Arabidopsis thaliana: one gene and its partners. The protein of the gene in region 2 purifies or fractionates together with the protein of the main gene of each other region. This does not show direct contact. Each region holds a gene or a part of one and is shown on either strand. Other genes may lie near its edges.

Evidence for each region.
Region 1: the proteins of MEE34 (region 2) and AT5G26360 fractionate together in Arabidopsis thaliana (co-fractionation; one large-scale study listed by BioGRID). This does not show direct contact.
Region 3: the proteins of MEE34 (region 2) and BETA-UP fractionate together in Arabidopsis thaliana (co-fractionation; one large-scale study listed by BioGRID). This does not show direct contact.

Annotation. Positions count from the first base shown.
Region 1 is NC_003076.8:9,257,136-9,260,889, forward strand, and holds the start of AT5G26360 (TCP-1/cpn60 chaperonin family protein), read right to left. Parts: upstream 1,894-3,754; 5' UTR 1,757-1,893; coding exon 1,732-1,756; intron 1,638-1,731; coding exon 1,576-1,637; intron 1,485-1,575; coding exon 1,412-1,484; intron 1,112-1,411; coding exon 1,044-1,111; intron 964-1,043; coding exon 894-963; intron 699-893; coding exon 630-698; intron 549-629; coding exon 477-548; intron 362-476; coding exon 288-361; intron 1-287. UniProt on the Arabidopsis thaliana protein: Molecular chaperone; assists the folding of proteins upon ATP hydrolysis. Known to play a role, in vitro, in the folding of actin and tubulin.
Region 2 is NC_003074.8:3,527,137-3,530,890, reverse strand, and holds the start of MEE34 (Mov34/MPN/PAD-1 family protein), read right to left. Parts: upstream 2,070-3,754; 5' UTR 1,903-2,069; coding exon 1,716-1,902; intron 1,326-1,715; coding exon 1,233-1,325; intron 1,153-1,232; coding exon 1,071-1,152; intron 892-1,070; coding exon 795-891; intron 663-794; coding exon 587-662; intron 431-586; coding exon 372-430; intron 233-371; coding exon 110-232; intron 1-109. Other genes in the region: WOX5 (WUSCHEL related homeobox 5), read right to left, coding at 2,628-2,872, 2,982-3,285. UniProt on the Arabidopsis thaliana protein: Acts as a regulatory subunit of the 26S proteasome which is involved in the ATP-dependent degradation of ubiquitinated proteins.
Region 3 is NC_003076.8:25,737,346-25,741,099, reverse strand, and holds the start of BETA-UP (beta-ureidopropionase), read right to left. Parts: upstream 1,970-3,754; 5' UTR 1,837-1,969; coding exon 1,726-1,836; intron 1,545-1,725; coding exon 1,437-1,544; intron 1,342-1,436; coding exon 1,153-1,341; intron 1,059-1,152; coding exon 831-1,058; intron 753-830; coding exon 528-752; intron 435-527; coding exon 69-434; 3' UTR 1-68. Other genes in the region: EIP9 (Chaperone DnaJ-domain superfamily protein), read left to right, coding at 2,498-3,754. UniProt on the Arabidopsis thaliana protein: Catalyzes a late step in pyrimidine degradation. Converts N-carbamoyl-beta-aminoisobutyrate and N-carbamoyl-beta-alanine (3-ureidopropanoate) to, respectively, beta-aminoisobutyrate and beta-alanine, ammonia and carbon dioxide.

The DNA of each region.
Region 1 (3,754 bases), on a different chromosome or scaffold from region 2:
AACAGTACATAAAGTCATATAAAATCATGTGAGTACCAACGACAATCAAACTTGTAGAACTTCATACTACAAGTATTTCAACAATCGAAAACCACCAAAAGAATTGAAGAAAGCAGTCATCAAATTCAAGTTATTTCATGGTTACTCATCTTACATTTAAAAAGTCACTTCAAGATGTATGCTGTATCTATACCTACTTGTCTAGACATATCCAATATATATTAAGGAGCAATAAAACCTGGACTGGTAATGCATAAGTAAGAAGCTACTGTAATTACGGTACTTACCGCAATAAGATCTCCAAATTGGCTAGTGAACTTTGTCCCTATGCAGCTCTTGACTAATCCTAGCACTTGTGAACCTGCAACTCACACATTCTTCCATCAGTACAAACGTGAAAGAAAAACTAACTTCAGAAACCAAAGTAGCTGAAGGTCAACTCCAAATGAACAAATACAAGGTAGAAATGGACTTACGGTCATTGATATCAATTGACATAGCAATTTTGTCAAGAACAGCAATAGAATCTTCGAGAGCCTTGATGTAAGCTGCAGAGAAGAATGCATTCGTTAAGATGAAAACGACATGTGTAACATGACAACAATAAGCAATTCATAGTGCCAGCATACCTCGGCATATGACTGTGGGATGGTAATTCTTCTCAAGAAACGCTTCTGCAACGTGAAGCATTTCACCAGCTGTTGGCAAAAAGCAAACAAAAAGAGGACTTCAAGAACCCATGATTATAAACAGAGATCATGATGTTGAACTGAATACTGCAGCACCCATAATATCCTTAAGTAATTTGTTTGTGCTTTAGTTAAAAATACATTAAAACTGGTCCAAACCAAGCCATTGACAAACTATTTGTTAGCAAAAAAGAATGTTCGTACCTAGAACAATAACAGACGTTGTCCCATCACCAACTTCTTCATCTTGCGTACGGCTCAACTCAATCATTGACTGCAATCACCAGAGTCAAAAATGGATAAGTAAAACAATTTTAACAAGAACAATAGATAGAGAAAGGTCAGAAGTAAAACCTTAGCTGCAGGATGAGCGACATCTAGCTCACGAAGAATAGCATTCCCATCATTAGTAACAACAATCCCTGTAAAGATCCAAGAAACAAAGAGGGGTAAGATATGATGATAACACACAGATTAAGAAAAATTAAAGGTAGACAGAAAAAAAAAAAAAACAAGACAAACAGAACCCAAATATTGATTTAGGGTTTATATAAAACTAACACCGAAACTGAAGAACAATAGCTTCAACAAAGAACGAGTACATAAGAAAAACATTTCCAAAGCTAAAAACACTAAACCTAATTCCCTCACTACAGAGATCTACTACCCACATACAGAGATATGAAAAGCCTAAAAAAAAGAGGAAGTGTTTAGAAAAAGACCTCCACCAGCATCAAGAAGCATCTTCAACATAGAACGAGGACCCAATGTTGTACGAATGATATCAGCAACAGCCTGTACCACAAAAACAACGATGATCTGAAACCAGAGGAGAGAAGCAACAAGCATCACAGAGAAAAAGAGCCATAGAAAAGGATTAATTTACCTTGGAAGCTTGGATATTACCATGATGAACCTTACTTCCAGATTCACGCTTCAACGAATCGCCTAAACCATTTTCACAAAAGGAGTTAATCTCGTTACCAAAAAACTAATATCGATTTAGAGGAAATGAGATCTGGAGGAAGATGGAGATACTCACTCAGAACGAGTACCGGTGCGTGCATATTTGCGATCTGAGGTTTTCACAGTGAAGAAGAAGCTTAGAGAGACACGGCGAGTGATTTTCAAAGAGCGGCAAGTGGAAGATCCTACTGCCTTCTCCGATTTCTTTCATCCTCTCTCGTGCTTTTCATTTTAGGTTGAGAAGCCCATCCCTAAGGCCCATTAACTAATATTTCACACATTGGGCCTTTTTGTAAGATCAAAACAAAGTAATAGTATTTTTATATCCGGAAGATTAGGTAAAGATGCGTGAGAACGGGAGAATTGTTAACCTAATTTGTTAAGAGGGAAAAAATACAAAAAATACTTCATTTATTTTTAATTTGTCCGTTTAATACATGCGTTATTTAATTTACCTGTTTAATATTTAAGTTAATTTTTATGTTTATTGAAAACCTTTTTTTTTTTTTTAATTTTAGCAAAATCAGACATCCGAGTTAACGGGCGTTAACAGTGGTAACGAAATCGCTAACTGTAGTTAAAACTTAACCATATAATGTTTACTATTTATATACAATTTGTTTTCTAATAATTATGAACATATTATTTTAGTCGAGTGGTTATGAGAGAGATTACCATCATCATCGATTCAAAATCGATTATCATCTCCAAAATTTTTTTTGATTTTTTTTCTTTTTTTTTTAACAAAAAGGCAAAATCGAAGTCAGCCATCTCTTTCACTTCAACAGGCTTTGCACTTGTGTGTTGCTTCACTTCTTTCTCCAAAGGATATTGCACCAAAATCAATCACCAACCAAAAGTCCCAAATGTTAGACCAATTAATACAACATAGATTTGTGATAATCGATCTTATTTGTTATCAACAGATGCAATTAATGGTAACATAATCTTTCTATAAGCTATCAACGTTACTAACAATGAAAAACAAAGTCTGGATTTTTCAACGCAAAATATCAGCAAAAACTGGGAATATGCAATCTTTGCTGACTTATTCATATCAATCGATCTAGAAATTGAAAACCTTAATATGAATTGAAGAGATGAAGGAATCTAATTTAGCTCGTTCTCAAAATCGAATTGAAGCAGATCTAACAAACGTGGTGCTAAACAAAAGAAAGTCTCAGAATCAAATTCAAAATCGTAACTCGGATTACTGAGATTTTGCCTTTTGTTAAAAAAAAAAATCAAAAAATTTGTTGGAGATGAGAATCGATCTCGAACTGATGAGGATGATAATCTCTCTCAAAACCACTGGGACTAAGATAATATGATCATAACTATTAGAAAACAAATTGTATATAAATAGTAAACATTATATGGTTAAGTTTTAACTGCGGTTAGCGATTCCGTTACCATTGTTAACGCCCGTTAACTCGCATGTCTGATTTTGCCAAAATTTAAAAAAATGAAGGTTTTTAATGAACATAAAAATTAACTTAGGTATTAAACGGCCAAATTAAATAACGCAGGTATGAACAAATTAAAAATAAATGGAGTTTTTTTTGGTTTTTTTCCTCTGTTAATAGTATAATCTCCCTCGACCTAATCCATCTCCCGTCAGAAAGTTGTTCCAAACTCTTCAGTGTTATCATCTTTTCCTTTTAAGATTATTTTTGTCAAGTCTACTTCTTATAACAAGAGTAAGTGCTTTCCCTCCTGTTTTAGGTTTTTGTAATTTGGTTCGCTAATTTATTTGATTTCTCATTTGTGTTTGTTTCGTTTCCCTGAATTTTTCTTCCTTTGATTTTTCAGATTACAGACTTTGAGACTCTTAGTTTTTACTAAGACACAGTGTGATCAAAGAAATAGGCCCATCTTTGTTTTATAGAATTCTTTGTAATCAGGTTGTGTTGAACCTTGTTATGTAGGCTATAGTTTTTGCTTTGAAAGCCATGTATGACTCTGAACTATTACTCAATTTTTTAAAGTAATGTGGGATTTTTTCTACTTATTTTTTTTCTTCATCGATTGAGTAGTATATGTGTGTTTTTAAAATTTTGAATTACCTCATATGCAGAAAAAACTAATATATTTTTAAC
Region 2 (3,754 bases):
AGTATTCAATTTAGCTGAATAATCCTTACTAGCAGTCACGGATACTGAGAAAAAAACAAACACGAAAACCAGTTTGATTCTACTAGTCAACTACAATTAAAAGTGTTACCTGAAGATGGTATAAGATTTCATGGTTTAATGGGAGTTTTCCTTCGATTACAAGGTCAAGGTAAGTCCGGATCTCCCGAAGTCGTGCATCCAATCCCTTCAGAGCAGTAAGTTTCGCAGTGACCTGAAATACAGTTCACAAATAATTTCAGTTTCCTCAATATATGTTCCTCACATTTTGTTTTGAGAGCAACAATCATGATTTGAATAAACATTAAGAAGCTTGATGATGAAATGTTTAAGTTATGTGTGAAGAAAATAACCTCAGTTGCCAAGGTACTGATGGTTGTGTCTTTTACATCCCTGAGCAAATGTTCCACACCTGTTCAAGACCAACCAACTGGCGTAAGCGAAGCAAGAAGGACTCCATTGAGTTTCCTCGGAAGCATTTACAAAAAAAAAAATTCCCTCATCATTCTTATGCTCTGAAATAAGGAAATCAAACTATCAAAGGATTTGTTTCCCCATGTAGACATACCAATTTCCTCAACTTCATGAGCTGCAATTTCTGTAGGCACGTGTACAAAAACCTGTTGGCTTTTCTGGGTAGCATTCTGCAGAGAGAGAAGTTCGGATCAAGGCAATTAGATATATGGATATAACTAATGCAGAAAGTAAATCAAGTATGTCAGATGCAACTTAACAGTCGAGCAAGTAAAATGGTTAGAAAATTGGCTGGTATTTACCTCTTTCACCTCCTCAACCGCATAGTATGCTTTTGTGGGGATTCCAAGTTCTTTAGGTTGGACATCAATAATGACCAACACTGGATTTGGAACGTAGCTGCAACACCAGAAACTAAGATTAAAACCGAAGTAATACAGAAATAAGGTCTAGCAAGAGAGGAGAGATAGATTGTGAATGCTTTAAAACGTTTGTACATATATAACTTAAACAGACCACCAAACCATATATTAGATTAGACCATCATATCTCATATTTTAGACTGATTTTGGTCTTACCCATTGAATAAAGCGTGAACATCCAAATCATTCTCTCGAAGTTTAGGACCTGTGCTGTACCAACCCACAATATGCTCCTTAGCTGAAAGCAAATATGAAAATCAGTCAAAAAAGAGGCTTTCCACATATATACTCTTAAGCATTATATTTCCCGAGCAATACCATTAATTCTCTTGAACATGTGAAACATCGACTCGTGGTAGTTGTGATCAAGAAACCATATGCTTGTGTCTTTGTCATCCTCCTCAAAAGGCACTGTAAAACCACAAACAAAAAGTCAAACAAGTGATGTGCAAGTAACAACAACGCACTTATGAACATGCTCACAGTGTAATGTACTGTGCAAAATCAAATGAAATCTGTTTCATTCTCTAAGAAATTAACTCAACCACCATATTATACTCATCACTCCAATATGGAATTAGGCCACTAGGACCAAGTTTGACTGAATCCAAGTATCACACAACGATTTTAAAAGTAAGACAATTTTGCAACCCAAAAGCTAAAAAAAACTAAACTTAAGTAAATTTTCAGACAAGAACACTAAACATATTGAATTATGAGATTAGCAAGAGCTTAACAAACTTTCAGAGATCTGTGAGATCGAAGAGAACAAAGAGAAAGGAAAAAGTAAAATCAAGGCACCTGCGTAGCTGTTGGTGACGTCAACAGTACCACGAGAGCTACTTCCGAGCAAAACGCCGACGACGCGCTTGCTCGTGTCCTTGGCTACACGATTGTAATGGTCGACGATACTAAGCAAGACAAGTGGGTGAACGATCACTTTCTCGATTGTCCTTGCCGATATTTGTTGCGTCTTTATAACATCCATTGTTGGGTTAATCAAATTCGCTTGAGTAATTCTAAATTTCTTTCTCCGGGAATGATCAAAACCTCAACTTTTGATTCCGTTTTATCTCCGACGGAACTTGAGTTTGCTTCTTCTCCAGGAAAACCCCTTTAATTAATCTTCTCTAGGCACTATGGGTTTAACCAAAGTTTGGGCCTTCTCTGTATTATAAAGCCCAATTATATGGGCCTAAAAGACAATGGGTCTGGGTAAAATAATATTAAGGATATTAATCTGTTCGTTTAAAAGAGTTGGTTTTATTCTGATAAGATTGTGCAAGTTTTTTGGTCTAATGGTTGTTGATCAAGACTTAAGTATTTCGAGATGATGTAAATTTTGTAAATTGATAGAGATAAGTTTTAAGTTTGTTTTTTTAACATCTTTTAAGTTTTAAGTTTATCTGATATTTCTAGTATTTCTGTGATGCAAATAGAACTATTCGTTAATGATGTCTTTCTTAAATTATTTTTAAAAAATATAGAAAAATACATTAACAAATCACAACCTTAGTTATATGATGATATACATATACGCATTCCATAACATAGATTCTTATATCAAACAAAATGAGACAACTTTTTGATAAACCATGCATTGGAAAATATCTCATAAACCATGCATCGGATAATATGTCATAATTCAAAATACAACAACATTTTAAAGGCTAAAGCATCTGTTTTTTTTCTTTTGTTATTGTGGTCAATGACTTAAAGAAAGCTTAATCGAAGATCTAATGGCGGTGGATGTTCCATTTCAGCTCCACATGATGAGTATGGAGAAAACGACGTCGTGGTGGTCTCTCGAATATATTCACGGTACTGGTTATTGCCTCTAGCTCTCATTTTGTCCACCTTGGAGTTGGAGTCTTCAAATGAATTCACCGGAAAGAGTTGTAATGTCTCTATCACCTTCTCTTCCTCTTGACAATCTTCTTCGCTTATTTCAAAAACATCTATAATAACACACTATTATCCATTAAATATATAGAAATATCATATAAAACAATAATGATATATAATTATATATATATATATATATATATATATATATAAAGAGACTACCTCTAGTTGATGGTTGATGATGATGATGATCAAAATCAATGGAGATTTTACGACGTTTCTGCCTCTCCCTAGCCTTATGATTCTGAAACCAATAGAAAACATTCTTGCTCTCTATCTTGCCGTAGAAACTGAGCTCCGTAGAGATCTTCTGAATCTGATCAGTTGTTGGAGTTCTAAGACCGGCTCGAAACAGATCAGTCAATATCTTCAACTGCTCCACCGTTGGATTCCATCTCCCGCACTTCGTCCCCGTTCCTCCGTTATTGTTGCCACGTAAGCTTCGACCTTTCACGGAGAAAGACATGTTCAGATGTAAAGTCCTCAACTGTTTTACGTTTTAGGGCCTGTGTATATATCCATATATATAGTAAGATTGTTCATAATAATTTATTAAGTTTTCATCTTTTCGAAAATAAAAAGAGAAATGAATTGATGAAATGTCGGGAGGAGAGGTTTTCGAGTTATGTGTCGTTTTATGATGAGTTGTTTATTACGAAATGCATGCTTTGTTTTTTTTGGGGATTTGGGAGAGACTGATCTTTGCAGATTTGATCGTTTTCTTTATCCTAACCTATCTAGGCTTCTGTTCCATCTATATTTACATATGTTTTTGTGTGTATATATTAGTATATAATTGGATCTCGCATTCATGCCATGGCATGCATAAGTTGTATATCGGAACCAGCGATTGAAACATTGAATTTGTTCTCCTTTAATTTGTGGTGACTCGCACACACTTAAATTGCGTTCTACGTAATTTCTTACTATTCATA
Region 3 (3,754 bases), on a different chromosome or scaffold from region 2:
ACACAAATGATTGAACATTGATTATTGGACTTTTCTTCTTTGAAGATTCACAGAGTGAAATTTTCTTCTTATGTAGAATTCTTGTGGAGCAATGGGTCAGAGACGACTTGAGGCTTGAAGTCTGGCTTTATGTACTTTGCCAAAAGATCGGCATAGACTTCGTATCTTGCAGTCATTCTAAATCCCCACTTGTCCTTGTATTGCCGGCAGAGATTGAGATCCATGTCCGAGATCAATAAACCATCTTTGTAACGGGACAAAGACGGTGTGCAAGAAGCATCTGGTGCAGAAAAATGGCTTGACCCATAGAAATGCCCGAAATCATTGTGTTGCGGTTTTCCATCACCTGACGTAAAAGGATTGGGGAATACTTCGGTTCCAACTCGGTTAATGGATCCAACAAAGTAACTGTTTGCTATTGCGGCATTTCGTGCCTGCAAGTTTTAAGGAACATATTGCATTGTTAGACAGTGTTACTAAAGAAAGAAAGCTTCAAATTGAGTAAAGTGGAGAATCAGAAGTTAAACCTCAATAGGCCACATTGGTTCACTGAGTTCACCAACAGTTGCTGAAGGGTTGAAGACAATCTCTGCACCATTTAGACCAAAAGCTAACCAATTCAGAGGATGGTGTCTGCCATAACATATATTAACCGCAATTTTCCCAAACACCGTCTCAAACACAGGATGGCCTGTGTCTCCTTCCATGTAATAGGTGCTCTCGTTGAAATCTCCTACCCTAGGTATATGGTTCTGCCACCAAGCAAGTAATAGAAATTAGCTGACAAGAGAAAAGACAGAGCAACAAAAGACGTGTTAGCACAAATATACCTTTCGATGCTTGCCAATGATATTTCCATTATTCCCTATAATCACAGCGGTATTCCAAAGCACTTCACCGTGATCAATATCTCTTTCGAGAATAGGACTAACAATCACCATGTTATACTTTTTAGCGAGTTCTTGAAGAAACTTTGTCGATTCGCCATCAACAGGCTCTGCAAACTCACACCATCTCCTCTCCCTAGTGCAAAATGCAAATGGCATGGTCCAAGCTTCCTATCGATAAAACCATTCATTCCCCCCCAAAGAAAAGGTCAAAAACAATTGAAGTAACAACTTTTCAATAAAAGAAAGCAAATGGAGGCAAAACCTGCAAGCACAGTATGTTAACACCAGCAACACCCGCAGCATCGATTATCGGCTTCAACTTGTCGAATATTCCTCTTGTTTGGTCCGAGAATGGAGCAGTGGTTGGAAGAGCAATGGAGTTTTGAATGAGACCAACTCTGACCACTCGAGGATTTCTCATTTGCTCTTTATCAGCTGAAAAGCTAGCAGCCTAGACAATATTTATACAAAGATCAAATCAAATCAAAACATTGTCTCAATCTATTAAGTTCAATGATCTGATCCTATAACTAACGAAGTATAAACCTGGAGATCAAAATCATGTTTTGAAGACAAGGCTTTAGCAGACTCCGGCAGAACAATCTGTTCAAGCGATCTCCCACAGTTACGTCCAAGGAGCAACCGGTTTACCTCCTGCAAATCCAATCATCAACAATCCATATTTTTTAAAGCTGATCAACATAACTAAAATAAACACTTGAAACCACTAGAACAAAAGATCCATAATATCATCATTCGAATTAGACAGGCTAATCAAAAGCGAGATCAAACACACTAGAAGAGTAATTTAGTTTGGAGGGAGTGGATACGTCACCTGATAGAGCTCGGGCTTAAGATTCGCTGATAAGAGTTGATGCAGCGAATCATAGCCGCAAATCGATCCTTCGGCACTTGTTTCTCCGTTTTCTGATATCATATGATCCATTTTTTCACGAGTCTTTTTCGATCACGAAACCAAGATGGCGATGACTTTTATGACAACAGTGATCGATCGGTTTGGTCAATTGATTACGAATTATTTTCTGGGAATCGGAATGTAATATTTTATTTTAGTTAGGCTGTCCAGACCTAAAGCCCACCAGATTATATTTTAATTCTTAAAAGAATTATTGGGCTTTACAACATCCTAAAAAGCATCTGTATTGGTGGTTTTTCGTTCAAATCTCTCATCTACAAAAATAAAAATAAAATAGTAAATAATGTTTTTTTTAATTAAAAAAATCTCTCAGTAAAGATGAGTGAGTCTCTCATTTGAGAGATTACAAGAAACTTTTCCAATTGTTTAGAGAAACTGTCCTAAGAGAATAATATTACATCTTATTTTATTAATATTTTTTGTAAGTGAAAAATTTAGAAAAAAGTGTTCCGGCCCATTGACGATCCATCACATTGCACATATTATATAAAATGAAAAGGACCAAAATGCCATTGACGATCCATCATGTTGTTGTTCCGGCCCATTGACGATCCATCATGTTTTCGTCCTTTTAATTTTTAGATCTGTATTTACTCTTTACCGATAAAATAATAAATAAATTCAACGGGGAGAGAGGAAAAACGAAAGGGAACAAAAAGAAATAGGGGATATGGTAGGCGGACGCGGCGGAGTTGGCGGTGGTGGTGGTAACAGAGTGGAGGCGGATCAGTGGCTTGTAACATCGGAGAAGCTTCTAGCGTCTAGTGATCTTCAAGGAGCAAAGACATTTGCGATCCGCGCATGCGAAGCTGACCCGACCCGAGCAGAAGCTGCAGACTACATCCTCGCAATCTGCGACATTCTTCTCGCCGGAGAGACTCGTTTAGGTGATTCCAACTTGCCAGACTGGTACGCCGTTCTCCGACTCGGTCGTTTAGCTCAAAACCCTGAACACGTCGCGACTCAGTACCGTAGACTCGCTCTTCTCCTCAATCCTTCCGTTAATCGTCTCCCATTCGCCGATCGAGCTCTTAAAATCGTCTCCGATGCTTGGTTCGTTCTCTCTGATCCGTTCAAGAAATCATTCTACGACCGAGAATTGCAACTTAGTCAACTCGGTCAATCTGGATTCCATCCTCAAACCCAATCGCATCAAAATTTCCAGTGGGAACCTAGCAGTAGCACCGCCGTATATCCGCCACCGCGGTCTCAGAGCCAGGCTGGGACCTCGGCGGATCCTATGGCGACGAGCTTCTGGACCGCTTGCCCTTACTGCTTTGTACTCTTTGAGTACCCTAAGGCTTACGAAGAATGTACTTTGAAATGTCAAGAATGTAGAAGAGCGTTTCAAGCTGTGACGATACCAAAACCTCCGGTGGATAAGAAAGACGACGAAGACGTTTACTTTTGCTCATGGGCTTTGTTTCCATTGGGGTTTTCCGGTGAATTTCAAGCTCCAAGTTGGTCACCTATTTCACCTCTCTTTGCCTGTCCTCTGCAAAAGTTGGATGGTGAACCAAAGAAGAGAAAGGAACCGGGTCCTCCTAGGATTTACTATGACGATGATGACATTTATGTTGCGATTTCGGATGGAGATGACGCTGGTGATGATGGTGATTGGCAAGATGTGGTACAAGTGAATAAGAAGACGAATGTTGGGAAAGGGAAAGAAACATATGTGAGAAGTAACAAGAAACATGGAGTTGAAGAAGTCCAAAATGTAGAAAGTATCAGTAGTGCTAGCAATCACGCGGTTTCAATTGCTTCAAATGCTGCGGCTGTTGGGTCTTCAACTGGGGTTATGTCTAAACCAGGGAGTTATATTACTAGAAAACGAATGGGAACAGGCGCTAAGAACCTGGGGAGGTTGGATTTGAATGTGGAGTTTAGTAATGAAGTGGAAGAGCCTGGTGTGGCAGGTGGGGGA